Linked DNA regions of Tamandua tetradactyla. The protein of the gene in region 1 interacts with the protein of each later gene in a biochemical or structural test. Links are inferred from orthologs where the notes say so. Each region holds a gene or a part of one and is shown in the gene's direction. Other genes may lie near its edges. The genes, in order: SELP and CD24.

Region 1 (9,047 bases):
ATTTTTCAGGCATGTTGAAAGTGTAGTATTCCTGGTTGATGGTTTCTGAAGTTTTATCTCATTCCTTTGATTAGTCAACATTTCTCATCTCTGTGTTTATCTTGCAATCTTTGAACAAACAATTAAAAATTTTAATGTGTTTAACTCCATAATTTAGTCTTGAGCTGTCTGTTCCTTAAGTTTATAACTGGCTAGTGAATTGACAAAAGTTTCCTTGAGTATCAGGAGCTAATAAAAACAGGCACCCAATGCAAAAATGCCTTTCAGTCTTTGCAAATTGGCTCTGCATTGGCTGGTGCTCTCCTTTAGAGTTTATCTTTTCTACTAAGAAAATCATTCTGTGGCAAAAGCATGAGTCCTCTCTATATATTTTTTCATTTTTTGTGAGCATGTGTCCTGTCCTGGACATGCCCTTGTGGCCTAAGGAATTTCCCTGTTTACAGAGATCTGAATATCTACTCACTTTGAAGAAGACTTCTCACCATCCTGAGTGCTCCATAGTCTTTATTAGTGCCAGTAATCCTTTTCCAAGGCTATTGTGATTTGATTATTTCTTTACTACTTTAGCTGTCTGAAGCTGCCTTTACCTGCAGGGCATGTTCTGGGGAGGCAAGCCAGACACAAGTGTCTTGGTTTAGTCCAAGAACTGAAGGATTCGATGAGGTAAAGCTTTTTAAATGCTTTATTTAAAGCTTTTTAAATGGCACAGTCTGGCCAATAGAATAAGTGCTCAATAATAGTGGCTAATGAATATAACCATAGCTCTGCTTTCATTTCCTCACTGACTTTTTAAATAGTCTATAGGTTGTATTCAGCTACAAATAGGTCACCCATTTAACTGTGTGTCTAGCACAGGTGATAATCCTTCTGTCATTGCCTTCTGTCAATCAAAGGGCCCCAGACATGTTTTGGGGAGGGCAAAATTACCTTTAATGTGAAAAATCACTTCCTATTTTATCTACAGAATTTAGGATGTTTTGTGACATACATATTTAACCACTGAACTTGTATAAAACAATCTGACTTACTCTACTCAGAGGTAACCTCTGTAAGAACCCTTTCCACCCATTTCCCACCTTCCCTGCCCCACCTCCACCATCAATGTGTAATCTGACTCATACCACACTGTTCTATAATGATCTGTTTATATGCCCATCTCTGTCCTGGCCTTTGACCTGAATGAGGCTGGGGTATGTGCTTTATTCATCTTTGATTCTCCAGAGCCTGGCTTAGGTTATAACACGGGGCAGGTCCCCACAAAATGTGTTGAAGACTAAATGGGTCTAAGTGGGCATAAATATGTCAGCGTGGAATGTGTCATGAATTCTGTTTCTATTTAATATTATGTGGGTAGACAATTGTGAAAGTTCAGTTCACTATCTGGGACCTTTGCCAAACTGGCTGATATCCTTGCTTTTCCTTCCCTTTCAAAAACTGCAGAGGGAAGATAGAGAAAAGAAATGCTTAATAATAATACCACAAACCTATTTAAAAAGAATTTCAGCAGGAAGAGTTAGAAATTCGTGAAATTTGTGTAAATTATCTTCTTAAAGCTATATGGGGAAAGTTGATTATCTTTGGCCATGACAGCCAGCCATCAGGAAGCAGACACTTCAGAAATACAGACCAGAGAGTTTCCAGAAAGAAATGGGGCAACTTCTCAAGAGCCATATCTGGGAAGTTTTGATAAGGACACTTAGGCAACGGGAAGGTTAAGTTTATCCTTCATTTCTCATCTTTATGTTGTATCTCTATCTCTATCTATATCTATACTTATATCTACTTACATTTTGGGGCCTTTTTTTTAGTTGTGATGAAGCGGAACTATACTTAATATGTCAGAAAGGTACATTCTGTATGAATAAGTAAACAAAGCAGATTTTAAAACCGAATCTACAATATTATTCAAATTCCATTAAAAATATATGAACGAAAAACAACAACATGTTGAGTTGCTACCTCTTTGGTGATAGTACTATTGTGATTTTCCCCCCTTCCTTGTGCTTTTTTGAATTTCCTTTTTTTTTTGAGAAAGTATTATATTGACAATAAGGAGAAAAATTTATATGCTCTTTTTTTTATATATATAGTTTTATGTTATCAATGTAACCTATTACGTAGAAAGTTTCCTAGTCTTCTCTGAGTAGAGGGACCAGCTATGCAGGTGGAAAATTTCCTGAGGAATTAAACTGGTTCTGACTCAATCCCCATGAAGGCCACAACCATAACCTGGCCTAGAAGGTTCCCAACTCTCCCTACCTCTCCAGCCTTTTCTCCTGCTCTCCAGTCCCTGTGGTTGTCTCTTGGTTCCCAGGTTGCTCCAAGCCTCTGCTGGCCTAGAAGACTCTCCCTAACCATGATACTCCTAATCAAATTTCTGACCTCAGCTCCAAGGTCACACCCTCAGGGGAGGCTTCCTCAGGTCAAGTCTCCATAACATTCTTTCATTGAACCACATTTTTTTCTAAGTGCACTTATTTTTGTGGCTTTTATTTAACATCCGATGCCCTTCTAAACCATGAGCTGCATAAGGGAAGGGACTAAGTCCCTTTTTGTTCACTATTGAATCCCTGTGTAGAACCCTGCTTGGAGATTCGATGGGACTTAAATGTTTCTTCTGTATGTGGATGTACCATGGTAATAGAATAGAGTTCAGAGAGGAAGGTGGGAGGGAGCACTTTCATTGTGTCTATCCAGAGTCATCAATGAAATCAATAAGCCAACAAGCATTTGTTGAACAACTATTTTTCCTCTGCAAGATACTGAGGGAGATGTAAGATTAATATAGAAAAGTGTCCTTGCCCTCAGGAAACATATAGTATAATATGGGGATAAGAGAAAACACATACAAAACAGATAGCTACCACTAATAATTAAAATAAATTGCAATCATATCTTATTTTTAATGGCGACGTAATCAGAAACAACCTAAATTTTCAATATAGATTAAATGTATATGAGAAAATTTGTATTTAGCCTGGACAGCTTTTAAACAAAGTCATCTCCTCCCATTCATATTCCTAGGAATCTTTTCTGCTTCCCTCCTACTCCTTAAAATTTAACATCATTAAACTTAAAGCATGTTATCAATATGAACCTATCAGTCTACATACCACCTTCCCTGATCTCCATCTGAGAATTTTTTTTCAAAAATGGGCAATGAAAAAAACAAGGGCCGGGTAGTGAAAATAAAAGCTGAAGGGAATCGAAGCAAATTTTATGGAAATAATAGCTAACACTTGCACTTACAGTTTGCCAGGCACTATTCTAAGCACTTTACATGTAAATTTGATGAATTGTCCTAACACTTCTATGAGGTTGGTGATTTATTATTCTTATTGTTGTTATAGCTGAGGAAACTTTCACAAGAGTTAAATAACTTGCCCAGGTCAAAAAAAGTTAACTTGTCCAAGGGGTCTGGCTCCGGGTTCTGGGTTCTGAATCACCATACTATGCTGCCTCAAAGTTCTCCATTTTTCCTCTACTTCAACTTCCCTCATCCCTCCACCAGTCACTTCTTCATCAACATCTCCTTCCCCAGTCTTTCTACTACTACCATGTAATTCTTTCCTCTTGGTTCCAAATTCTTAAATGCAAATTGAGGCTCAGATAAATCACTTTTATCTTTGGACTGTCTTCCAGCTCTTTCCATTTTATTGCATTTTCTTTGTCTTTCCTATGAGGTGCCTATGTACAAGGCATAACAACTGTAGAGGGAATAAAGAATAACATCCCCCTACTACATAACTAGATTCCAAGGGGATGCACTGGAGTGATGTTTTTCTGACTTGATACCAATTACTTGATACTTGGGTCTGCTACCAAATGTTTGTTGAATGCCAACTGTATGCTGGTTATTGTTTCAAGCATTCTACAGGTATGAGCTCATTTAACCCTAAAACAACCCTGTGAGATAGGTTCTATTCGCTACTATTCCATTCCACAATTGAGGAAACAGAGGCACAGAGAGTTGATTTAATTTGCCCCTTGGCTAGCCGAGGTGGAGCCAGGATGTGTCTCAGGCAGTTCAGTAGCAGAGCCCAAGTCTTAGCCACTGCACCACACAGCCTTTTAGGACCACACAATCTGTGTGACTAGAAATATTAACCTTTCCATTTTCACATCTTTTATTCAGACCTAAGAAGTTCCTTTTGAATGATCAATGTCTGTTTTATACTATTTTAAAATACTTTCCAATAGTTACCCTCAACTGCCAGAAAACCCTCAGTGGCTTTTTCCCGTCCTATATAAAGATTTTTGGCGAGTGACTATTTTTGCTCCTTTTCCTCAGAAGTTTGCTGGAATAGAAAAACGAACATTCATTGAGATTTCATGATAACTGGAAAATTTACACTTTGACATTTTGATTAATATAAAACATGTTTTCCAAACATTTAACCTTAAATTGTGATTCATTACATAACCAAAGGAAACGTAGGTCCTGGGGGCGGTGGGCACTACTCCATCACTGCTCACCCGGATTGCCGGGGGTGATTCACACTCTCCCCCTTTCCCAGACCACCTCCCACTGAGGAAAGCCGCCCCTTGCTTCCTCAGTCACTACTATTTCTAAGCTGCCAACATTGCTTCTGCATTATTAGTTCTAACTTCTTGGGAAGGGCTGTGGCGAGTTTCTGGAAAGTGAATAGGAAGTTGCTTTTCTAAACAGCCTGACACCAAAGCGAGGCAGCGAGACTTCAAGAAGTCTGGGTCAGGCAGAAGGCAGAAAGCCAGCAGAGACTGCAGAAGAGATGGTAAGTTCATTTCATGTTCGTATGGGAACAGATGAGTTGAAGTGGGCATAAGGAGAACTGGGGCTGAAACTAGGCAGCTAAAGAGTCAGGAACAACAAAAGTTAGGGAGCTTTATGTTAAACAGGATTTAAGAGATTACATGCACTTCAAAAGTTGCTGTCCCCTTTAACACTCCCCACAACCTTATGAGGTTGGGTTATTCATATTTTACATATGAAGACATCGTGGCTTACAGAGGCGAGGTGTTCTACATAAGGTTGCGCTGGTTCTTTCTACAGGAGCTTGCAGGGACCCTCTTGGACTAGGGTCACTTCTCCAAGATTGCTGTTCTCTCTGGGTTGAAAGGAAGGCATGGTGTGCCCTGGGACAAACCTGTGCTTGAATGGTTTCTCATTCCCAGATGTCCTATTTCTTTCAGTCTGCTGGAACTGATCTGGAGTATACACATGGTTACTAGTTTTTCCCTAAGTCTCAATCCTGTTTGTGCCTCAGTTTCCTCATCTGTAAAATGAATGTAGTAGTACTCCATAGTGTCATTGTGAAGATTAAATAAGATTACACTGGAAAGCCTTTAGATGTGAGCCTGGGATATAGTAAATGATCAGTAAATGTTAGCTATTACTGTTTTGAGAAAGAGAAAATCCTTGGGATGCAGTGGGGTTGGGGATCCAGCGAATATTAAAAAAAGACAAGGCATTCTTGAACTCCATATGGTTTTTCTAGATCAGACAGATATGCCTAGGTCACCTCTAATTTTATCCCCAATATACCAGAAATATCCCATACAAGTTCCAGAGTCTAAAATCCTGCACTTGAGGCTAGGGAGGACCCATTTAACAGTCTCTGCTCTTGGACACCTTTCCTTGGGATTCCAGAAGAAAGTCGTGTTTACATCAGATCACCCCACCTCTTTGCTTTACTATTTGTATCCTTTTCAAGTGCCTATAATGAGGGTTTTCTGTGTTGGGGAGAACAGGGTTAAGAGGAAGAACTCCGATGACATAAGACTATGAATTCCTCTTGTCTTATCTTTTGTATGTCATACTTCTCCTGAATTGGTCAAATTAAACGAATAAGGAGTGATTCCTCTCCTCCTTTGATCTTCTCTGATGTCTTCCTCTAATTCAGAGATGTGTAAGCATATTAGATCTTGGAGTCTTTGGAGATTCTAATGAAAGCTACAACTCGTCTGCCCAGATAAAAATGCCAATATCCACATAAACAGAAGGATCCCAGGTCAGGAACTCCACCCTATGGCCTCTTATGCTTTTGCTCAGAAGCTCCTCTTGGCATCCTGAAACCAGGCTGGAACTCTGCAATGCAGTGCTAAGGACTCTAGTCCTGGAATTGTGTTTAGTATTCCTAAGATAGGACCTCATCCTTCACCTCTAAGCACACTTGGCTTTGGAGAGTCAGGAACCTCAAACTGCTTGTGTTAATTCTGCTTCAAATTCAGAGAGTGGCTTCGATCAATCTCTAGGACCTGAGGAAACAACTTTAGGGTGATATTTTCAATCAGAAAGACCTGAGGTAACTTACAGTTAAATTATGCCAATGTTAGAAAGGGTTTTAGTGGGCTAAGGAGCAGCTTTGGATTCTCCTCCATTTATACCGTTAACTATCTCAGGTGTTTGACTTCCAGTTCTTGCTTCCTTTCATTGCCTGTTTTTTCAAAATGCAACGAAATGGTCCAGGGTCTCCTGGGCTGGCCATTGGCTCTTAGAATGTACAACCTTGGAGATCTCTAAGTAGAAGCTTATTAATCAAATCCACAAAATATAAAATATGATACTAGCAGGTAATATTGAGAAAAGATCCTCACACTGGTAAGTACATGGTAGTTTCATAAATCCATCCATTACATTGTCTTCCTGGTGTCAAGACTCCCTGATTGAAGAGCAGATCAGAAATGTTATAAAGCCAATTGCACTCTTTATTTTTGTAGGGATATAGCTTAGCCATTGTTCAACAAGACTTTTACATTTCTTTTAGGCATACCACTCTAGCGTTTAATGTTGCTGTTTCATCCTAAATAATGGTGAGCGATAGCTGAATTTTTTTGAGGGGATGGTGGGATGGGCAGGCACCAGGAATTGAACCTGGGTCTCCAGCAAGGCAGGAGAGAACTCTGCCACTGAGCCACCATTCCCTGCCCAATAGTCTAATTTGAATATATGCCTTGATTCTAAGTGTTCATGCCCCGGGCTTCTTGTCTTTATTTCTAATTTACTGTTTGGCTAAGAGCCTACCTCTTTTCTCTCTGTATTTCAATCTCCATTTTTAAGCTGGGGCTACTAATATCTGTGCTATACCACCCAGGTTCTCCTTTTGGTGGTACCATTCTCGTCAGTTTTGTAAACCACCTAGAGTGCTGGCAGCCATGGGTCTCCTACGGGTGTCCTGTGAAAGTGAGGTCTAGAGAAAAACACTTGCTCCTTTCACTTTCTGTCTGCCCCTCTTCTCACCCCAAAGTCATTTCAGTTCTTTGGAAATTAAGGTCAAAGAGAACTACAGTGCAAAGCAGCCTTAATGAAGGTTTACACAGGTCACAGGATATCATTCAAATGACCCAGGGCAGCTTGGAGTGGACTGCCTGAGAACATTAGAGATTAACACAGCCTCTAGCCACTTCTCCTAGAAAGGTATTGCCTCTTGTTACAACACTTAACCTGCTTAGTGACACAAGGACAGAATCCTTAATTCTCCAGTAACTCAGATCTTGCATGGTCCAGAAGACTATGCTGCAGAGCAGATGTGAGAAGGTCTGTGCACCCAATAAGAAATTTCATTGGAAAATTATTGACCAAGGGGAGATTCATAAGCATTACCTACCTCCATGCCCAAACCTGTACACAAAACCCTTGTTGGTTAGCCTGAACATTAGCTCAGAAATTTGAACTCAGGGTCCATTAACATGGTTAGACAGACGAACCTTCTGAAATTATTAAAAAAAATTGCAAGTGTGCATTTTTTAAAATGATCTGGACCACTGATTAAAAAAAAAAACATGGTTTTTTAAACAACCTTTCAAAGGAGTTCATGAGTTCTACTAGAATAAAAATTACTGATGTAACCCTATATGCATCCAGGTGTGTAAAATTGGGCAGATCATTTAAACTCACTGCACCTCAGTGATGGGCAGTGGCACTTGCCCCATCTTGAGCATCATGGTCCAAAAGACCTGCTGCAGAATGCCCGAGAAAAGCTAAATTGTGGCAGTAATTTTTATGGTGTTCTCCAACTCTGAGATCTGCAATGATCAGAGAAGTGACTCTCGGTATTAGTAATGGGGAAAAAAAGAGGAATATATGGTCACATTAAAGCAGGGGATGGCCAGTGACTTGCAGTTTCATTTCATTACTTTGATCAGAAAGCATCTAACCAGTCCTCTGAAACTTTAAAACATCATTTCCAGCTTGCCTGCCCCATTCACTATCTCTCTGTCTTGTTTGGTGTGGTAGAGGGTTTCCTGAGGAAATCTTGTTTAGACCAAATCTTATTGAAAAGTTTACATATTTTTTAAAAAGTTGAAAAGTGAAAGAGCTCCATCTGGGAAGAACTGGGTGGGGCATGGAAGTAGGGGATTAGGAGCCCCACCTCTCTAGCTCCCTACACGCTACCCAGAGTTGGTCACAGTGACCTCAGAGAAACCTCTAGCTATGCTCTATACAAGCAGAAAAAGCACTTCTGAGGGGTCCCCAGGTTAAGTGCACTGCATTCCTCCTGCATCTACCTGACAGAAGCCCAGCAAGCCCTGGGGTCCCCGTCACGAGGGCTTTGTGATACTGCTCTACAGCAGCAATGTTTTTGCTCTCCTACCTCCAAAAACAATTCTAGAAAACTGTGTCATTCCTGCATTTTTCTAAGCTGAGAGCTAAAATTTGTTGTCACAAATTCTAGATGTAATAAAGGAGGAATTCTGGTCGATTGTAAATATTGCCACTTTAAAATAAAATTGTTGCATCATTTCTTCAAGAGCACCCAATGGAATTAAATAGCATAGTGATCTGATAACCCTCATTGCTTAAAAAAAATTCTAAACAAGCTCTTCTTCAATAATAGGAAATTTCATATTATTCATTTTCTACCCTTTAATGCTTGTTTTTATTTTGCTTCCCCCATAGAATCTTAACCTAATATATTTTTAAGTTTGAAGGTCTTTTCTTAATTACGCTATCATACCTCTTTGCAAAAGTAAAAAAGGAATAAATGAAAATTTAAAAGATTTTAATGTTCTGAAACCACTTAGTTCTGTGTCAAAAATTTTATTCCTATTTGAATTAGCATTACAAT
Region 2 (8,437 bases), on another chromosome or scaffold:
AGTAGTGTATAAGTGTCCCAGTTTATCCACATCATCTCCAACATTTGTAGTTTCCTGTTTTTTTAATAGCAGCCATTCTTATAGGTGTGAGGTGGTATCTCATTTTAGTCTTGATCTGTATTTCACTTATAACTAATGAGAATGAGCATCTCTTATGTGCTGTTTAGCCATCTGTATTTGCTCTTCAGAAAAATGCCTAGTCATACCTTTATTCCACTTTATAATTGGGTTGCTTGTTTTGTTGTTGTTGAATTGTATGATTTCTTTATGTATCCAGGATATCAAACCTTTGTCTAATGTGTGATTTCCAAATATTTTCTCCCATTGAGTTGGCTGTCTCTTCAACTTTTTGAGAAAGTCTTTTGAGGCACAAAAGCATTTGATTTTGAGGATTTCCCATTTATCTGTGTCTTGTTTTGTTGCTTATTCTTTGGTGGAAAGTTTAGGAAGTAAGTCTTGAAGACATCTCCCTACATTTTCTTCTAGGATCTTTATGGTACTGGTTTTTAATGCTTAGGTGTTTGATCCAATTTGAGTAAATTTTTGGATAGGGTGTAAGTTAAGGGTTATCTTTCACTCTTCTGGCTGTTGGTATCCAGTTCTCCCATGCCTATTTATTGAACAGACTAATTTTTCCCAGTTCAGTGGATTTGGGGGCCTTGTCAAAGATCAGTTTACCATATATTTGGTGGTCGATTCTTGCACTCTCAATTCAATTACATTGATCAATGTTTCTATCTTTGCATCAGTACACTGCTATTTTGACCACTGTGGCTTTATCATAAGTTTTAAAATCAGGGAGTGTTAATCCTCCCACTTCAGTCTTCTTTTTTAGGATACCTTTAGCTATTCAGGGTCTCTTTCCCTTCCAAATGAATTTGGTAACTAGGTTTTCCAAGTCTAAAAAGTAGATGGATGGACTTGTGATTGGTAATGCATTGAATCTGTAGATTAATTTTGGGTAGAATTGACATCTTAATTATATTTAACCTTCTTATCCATGAGCACGAAATATCTTTCCACCTATATAGATATTCTTTGATTTATTTTAAAAATGTTATATAGTTCTCTGTGTACAAGTCCTTTGCATCCTTAGTTAAGTTCATTTCCAGATACTTGATTATTTTGGTTGCTATTTTGAATGGGATTTTTTCCTTAATTGTCACCTTGGCTAGGTCATTGCTTGTGTATAGAAACATTAACTGACTTTTGCCCTTTAATTTTATAACCTGCCACCTTGCTGATTTGTTTATTAGCTCAAGTAACTTTCTTGTAGATTTTTCAGGATTTTCCAAATATAGTAATATGCAAATAATGAAAAATTTATTTCTTCCTTTAGATTTTGGGTACCTTTTATTTCTTTTTCCTTCCTGATTGCTCTCACTAGAACTTATAGTAGTACAATGTTGAATAACAATGGTGACAGAGGTCATCCCTGTCTTGTTCTTGATCTTTCAGACTCTCACCATTGCATACAATGCTGGCTATGGGTTTTACATATATACCTTTTATCATGTTGAGAAAGTTACCTTTGATTCCTACCTTTTGAAGCGTTTTTGTCAGAAAAGGATTTTGGATTTTGACAAATGCTTTTTCAGCATCAATGGAGATGATCATGTGATTTTTCTCTTTCAATATGTTAATGTGTTCTATTACATTAACTGATTTTCTTGTGTTTAACCATCCTTGCATTCCTGGTATAACACCCACTCAATCTTGGTGTATAATTCTTTTAATATGCTGTTGGATTCAATTTGCTAATCCTTTGTTGAGAATGTTTTGCATCTATGTTCATAAGGGAGATTGGTCTGTAGCTTTCCTTTCTTAATAGCATCTTTAACAGTTTTGGTACTAAAATAATATAAGTTTCATATAATGAGTTAGGTAGAGTTTTTTTCTTCAATTTTTTTTGACAAGTTTGAGCGGGATTGGCATTAGTTGTTTTTGGAATGTTTGGTAAAATTCCCTCTGTGAAGCCATCTGACCCTGGGCTTTTCTTTGTAGGAAGATTTTTGATGACTGAATCTCTTCACTTGTGATTGGTTTGTTGAGATCTTCTGTTTCTTCCGGAGTCAGTGCAACTTGTTTGTGTGTTTCCAGGAATTTGTCCATTTTGCCTCAGTTGTCTAGTTTGTTGGCATATAGTTGTTCATAGTATCCTCTTATGATTTCTTTTATTACTTCAGGCTCTCATTTCTTATTTGTTTATTTGTATCTTCTCTTGTTTTTCTTTGTCTGTCTTGCTAGTGGCCCTCAATTTTATTATTTTCTCGAAGAACCAATTTTTGGTTTTATTGATCTTTCTATTGTTCTTTGTTCTCCCATTCATTTAACTCTGCTTTAATCTTTGTTATTTCTATCCTTCTGTTTGCTTTGGGGTTAGTTTGTTGCTCTTTCCTAAGTTCCTACAAGTTAGAAGTTAAGTCTTTCATTTTTGCTCTTTCTTGTTTTTTAATATAGGCATTTAGGGCAATAAATTTCACTCTCAGCACAGCCTTTGCCACATCCCATAATGTCTGATTAGTTGTATTCTCATTTTCATTTGTCTCCAAATAGCTACTCATTTTTCTAGCAACTTCTTCTTTGACCCACTTGTTGTTTAAGACTGTGTTTTTTTATCTCCATGTATTTGGGAATGCTTTCATTCTTTGGTGATTATTGAGGCCCAGCTTCATTCCATTAAGATCAGAGAAAGTGCTTTGAATAATTGCAGTGTTTTTAAATTTGTAAAGACCTGTTTTGTGCCTCAGCATGTGATCTTTGCTGGAGAATGTTCCATGAGCACTACAGAAGAATGTATATGCTGGTGTTTGGGGTGCAATGACTGATATATGTCTATTAGGACTAATTCATTTATCAAGTTGTTTAACTCCTCTGTTTCCATGTTGATCTTCTCTGTAGTTGTTCTATCTATAGAGGAGAGTGGTGTATTGAAGTCTCCTACTATTGCTGTTGAAACATCTATTACTCCCTTCAGTTTTTCCAATGTCTGTCTCATGTACTTTGGAGCTCCTTTTTTGGGAGTATAGACATTTATGATTGCTATTTCTTCTTGATGAATTTTCCCTTTAATTAATATATAGTGCCCTTCACTGTCTCTGATGATGTCTTTACCTTTAAAGTCTATCTTGGCTGAGATTAGTATAGTTTGCTTACTTTTGGTTACCATTTGCATTGAAAATCTTTTTTCCATCCTTTCACTTTCAATCTATTTGTATCCTTGTGTTTAAGATGAGTCTCTTGTAAGCAACATATAGCTGGATTATATTTCTTAATCCTTTCTGTGAATCTGTATCTTTTAATTGGTAAGTTTAGTCTGTTAACATTCACAATTATTACTGAAAAGACATTTCTTGAATCCACTATCTTATCATTTTTCTTTCATTTGTCAGAAATATATATTCTTTTCCCTCTCTCTCTTTATATCCTTTAAGTTACCCTTACTGGTACTCTTCAATTCTGTGCCCTCCTCCAGACTTCCCTCTCCTGTCTTTTTTTCAGCTGGCAGAACTCCTTTTATTATTTCTTATAGCTCCAGTCTCTTTTTTTTTTTTTTTTTAAGCTCCAGTCTCTTGTTGACATATTCTTTAGGATTTCTTTGTCTGTGAAAACTTTAATCTCTCCCACAATTTTGAAGGACAATTTGGCTGGTTGCAGAAATCCTGGCTGGAAGTCTTTCTCATTTAGGATCTTGAATATATCATAGAACTACCTTCTTGCCTCCAGGGTGCTAGTTGAGAAGTTTGAACTGAGTCTTATTTGATTTACCTTGTATGTAGTAAATTGTTTTTCTCTTGCTGCTTTCAGAATTTTCTACTTCCCTTCAACATTTGCAAGACTGATTAGTATGTGTCTTGAGGAAGGCCTGTTTGGATTTATCATGTTTTAAGTGTTTGAAATCAGCTATCCTGTCCTGGATATCATTTATTCTTTCTTCTGTCCCTTCAACTCTGCTGTTGTGTGCCTCTAGTATGTTTTTTACTTTGTCAACAGAGTCTTTAATCTCTGTGATAACTGCTATTTTTCTATTCATTCTTTCAAAGTCTTCTTTATGCTCGTCTACTGTCTTCTTGATCTCCTTTATGTCATTAGCCATTCCGTTTATTTTATGAAGTAGAGTTATATGAATATCTTTGATTACTTATTCCAACATCTGTCTCCTCTGCTCTTTTAATTTGGTCATTAGGTTTGACTGTATCTGTCTGCATTGTGATATGCTTAGTGATCCTCTGTTGTTTTTGTTGCATGTAAATATCTTGATTGGTTTACTTTGGAGTTGATTTTCTTCAGTTGTCTAAAGCCTTGTGTTTGTGGTGTGGAAATGTAGCAGAATGCAAGGTACAGTGCAGGGCACAACAGTGCGATAATGTACTGCAGCACAAGTATAGTCACAGAAGATCATAAGAAAATGCTCAGTTTTGGGCATAATTTGTGTTTGTGAAATCTGTAAAACAAACTAGAATTGTCCAGGAAGTAGTGTAGATCTCTAAGTTATACATATAGAACAGAACTTATCAAAATTAGCCAGTTTTGACTCCCAGGGAAAATTAAAAGTTCTGACATTTAGGTCCAGAAATTTTTATTTTCAGAATGCAGAGTGAATGGTTGCAGGGACAGAATACTAGTATGTAATTGGTAGAGGCCAGGGATGCTGTGCCTCATAAAATATATACATAGCCCACTACAGCAACACATATTTTAATGTACAAAATGCATATAGTTGTCGTGGTTCAGAATCTCTTTATATATGTGAATGTGGCAGAGGAGAAAGGAAGAGGAAGCTAAGACTTATCAGGCTCTCTTCATTTGCCAGACCTGGTCCAAATGCTTTATGTGAATTAACTCATTTAATAGCCATAGCAGCCTTATAAGATAGCATTTTTTATTCTCATTTTATAGATACAGATACAAAGTTCAGTGAAATTCCATAGCTCATTCAAAATTTTACAATTAAGAACTTGAGAATTGTTCGTTAAACTCAGTCCATTTACGAACTTCATCTCCTCACTTCACTGAGTTGAAATCTATAAGCATGTATAGTGTTAAAGCAATGATCTATTATTTCATTCATTTAATCCAGAGATTTGTAGAAGAGTATTAAAAATGGCAAGTGACGACCTTGCCGGTGCCCGCCCCTAGCCAGTGGTGCTCCACACACCCAGCATCCAGCCGGACTCGCAGCGCGCCGACGGAGCGGACATGGGCAAAGCGATGGTGGCCAGGCTCGGACTGGGGCTGCTGCTTCTGGCGCTGCTCTTACCCACGCAGATTTATTCAAATCAAACAACTCCCATGCCACATTCAAGTAACTCCTCCCAGAGTACCTTGGCTGCCCCAACTTCAGCTAATGCCACCACCCCAGGAAGCGGCAGTGTCCTGCAGTCTACAGCCAGCCTCCTCATGGTCTCACTCTCTCTTTTACATCTCTACTGTTAAGAGACTCAGATCAAGAAACATCTATGCTTCCCCATCTTCTGAACCCAATCCAAATGGCATCTAAAGTCCAGTGTGGCGAGAACACAGGTCTTCATTGAATCTACTGATTCCACACCTTAATTGATGCAGAAAATGTTGAGAATCCCAAATTTGACTGGTTTGAAGAACATGTGAAGGATTTGACTTGATGATGAATGCCAATATTAAGTCTGCTGGAGTTTCATGTAGAAGATGAAAAGAGACAACTTCCAAAATGAAGAGATTATTTCCTTGAATGTGACTTAAGAAATAGGGACACTTAAAACTCTACCTTGAAAAACAAATAGATTTTCTCTTATCCAAAGAGAAACAATGGGGTGTGGAATGGAGATTCAGTTTTCATTTGGTACATTAAATATATAGGGTCATGAAATGATTAGGTAATATAAAAGCTCCCATGATTCTATTTATGTGTACATTAGACGGAACCTCCAGGTGTTACTGTACATTCTCCATGTATTGTTTCACCAATACTAATTTAATGCTGATAAACTCTAGATAAAAGTTTTACATTGTTCAGCTATCATTGTTTTCTTGGGAACTCAGTTCTTATTTCTGAGGCTTGGGATTTGACATTGTTGTAATTGACATGTGCCAGGCAATGATGTATTGGAATCTACCCCACAATGTAAGCATAATGAATAAATCTTGCTTATTCATTTATAAAATCGAATGGTAGGCATTTCTTATCACATTCCCATCCAACAACAGCACCAGATTCATTTAGCTAAACTGATTCCAAAGAGTAGAAATGCATTGACCTCAGCCAATTTCAGAATTCTGCTTTTTTTGTTTCTGCATATGTTGAGTATATTTACAATTTAATAAATGATCTGTTTTGAAAGTAAAATTGATAGGTCTTGAAATTTAAAAGGCAAATGTGAAGGAGCCAAAAATAATGTAAATCCAGTATTTGGGAAGTGAAGACTGGAACCTATCCTGCATTAAATTCACAAAAACTTTTATACGCTTTCTGTAAATACTTTTTTTAACTATGAATCAGAATAGCCACATTTGGAACACTTTCTTTATCAGTTAATATTTTTAGATAGTTAGAACATGGTCATAAGCCTAAAATTGGCTTGATTCTGGAAAGTAAATCTTTTACAACTGCCTAAATGCACAGAAACCTTTTTAAAAATAAATACTCTCATGAAGTTTTTTGTTCGCATGGTCACACACTGATGCTTAGATGTCCTAGTATCTAATATGACCACAGAAGTCTTGATAGCCAGTCATTTGTTTCCATCTTTTTTTTCTTTAGAAACCCACAGGGAAAAACCAGATCCAACAGGTCTAAAGCTACTGTGTGTGTGAATGAACATTCCCTTCTACTGCATATTTGAATGCTATACATCTTGTTTTGGATTGTATATTGTGTTTGTGTATTTATGCTTTGATTCATAGTACCTTCTCATGTTATGGAATTGATTTGCATTGAACACAAACTGTAAATTAAAAATGGCTGAAAGAGCAATCAAATGAAAAAAAAAAAATGGCAAGTGACTATTTCCAAGGACCTCCCTTAGAGTTGCACTTGGTATCCAGTGGATGCACAGGGGAACAACCAAGGGGCCATCAGTTCTTTGCAGTGGGGATTAGGAATTCATTATATGATATATAAATTGAGCAGAACACTGAGTCCCAGAGGATCCTGTTCGATGATACAGGATGTAATCACAGGCCCAGAAATTTCTACCCTCAAGAGGCTCATCAAACTGAAAGAAATCATGTGGGAGAGGATAATTTTCTGTACTTCTAATTAATCTTCCCCAAGCCATAGGATGTGATGCAGGAAAAACATTCTCACTGAAGCCAGATGATTGTTCTTTAGGCTCATATAAGGTTGTTTTCCTGTTCACAAGTAAACAGGACCTTCTGGACAAATTAAAAGTAGAAATTACAACTTCTTTAAAAAAATACTTCTTCTAGAATGTTAAAGACTCAGGACAGTGCTGATGGCTACTGCCTCCTTCATTGTCAGAAACCTTGTCAGCTTCACGATGGTAGAGATGAATAACCCTCAAGTCCAGTGTCAGTGAGGTCTCCAGGTGAAGGAATCATCTCTGATTTAGTAACCTCCTTCAAACCTACAACTATATAAGACAAGAATTTTAGGGGAGCACTCCAGCCTTTGATATGAGATTGGCAGGAGCTCATGTCAGAGGGAGGAAATTAGGCATTAGGAGGTCTACCAGCACTCTCCTCATTCTCCTCTGCACAATGACCAAGACTCTGAGAGAGGGAAAGAGAGGAAGGAAGAACAGTGTGGACTCTCAGTCCTGGGGAATCTCCTCAGGATGTCAGTTACATGGATGTCTCACCCTGTGTCTTCAAAAAACCTTGATCTTGTAACCCTGCTGATCCAGATCTCCCTTTGCAGGATAAGATTGATTGTACATCACTAAGCTCACCTCTACTCCTGCTCTACAGATCATGCCCATGAAGAAAATGGCTGTGGAAAATGTCTCTTCAGTGACTCAGTTTATCCTTATGGGATTAACAGACAAACCTGAGATTCAGTTGCCCCTGTTTTTTCTGTTTTTGCTGAACCATGTGGTCACTGTAGTGGGGAATTTAATTTTAATGCATCTTATTTGCTTCAGTTCCCACCTTCACACCCCCATGTACTTTTTCCTCTTTAATCTGTCCTTCATTGATCTCTGCTATTCATTTGTCTTTACCCCCAAAATGCTGATGAGCTTTAATTCAGAGAGGAACGTCATCTCCTTTGCAGGATGCATGGCTCAGTTATTTTTCTTCTGTTTCTTTGTCAGCTCTGAGTGCTATGTGCTGACAGCCATGGCCTGTGATCGCTACGTGGCCATCTGTAAGCCCCTACTGTACACCATCATCATGTCCCCTCAGATGTGTTCTCTGCTGATGTCTGCTTCATACGTGATGGGGTCTGTTGTTGCGATGGCTCACACAGGGTGCATGATGAAGCTGAAGTTTTGTGACT

The links.
Region 2: the proteins of SELP (region 1) and CD24 form a complex in vitro, tested with the Homo sapiens proteins (2 studies listed by BioGRID and IntAct). The link is inferred for Tamandua tetradactyla from reciprocal best matches to the Homo sapiens genes SELP and CD24.

What each region holds. Positions count from the first base shown.
Region 1 is NC_135330.1:23,440,879-23,449,925, reverse strand, and holds the start of SELP (P-selectin), read left to right. Parts: upstream 1-4,574; 5' UTR 4,575-4,751; coding exon 4,752-4,754; intron 4,755-9,047. UniProt on the Homo sapiens protein: Ca(2+)-dependent receptor for myeloid cells that binds to carbohydrates on neutrophils and monocytes. Mediates the interaction of activated endothelial cells or platelets with leukocytes. The ligand recognized is sialyl-Lewis X.
Region 2 is NC_135334.1:14,875,941-14,884,377, reverse strand, and holds CD24 (signal transducer CD24), read left to right. Parts: upstream 1-5,122; 5' UTR 5,123-5,199; coding exon 5,200-5,436; 3' UTR 5,437-6,951; downstream 6,952-8,437. Other genes in the region: olfactory receptor 8C8-like, read left to right, coding at 7,912-8,437.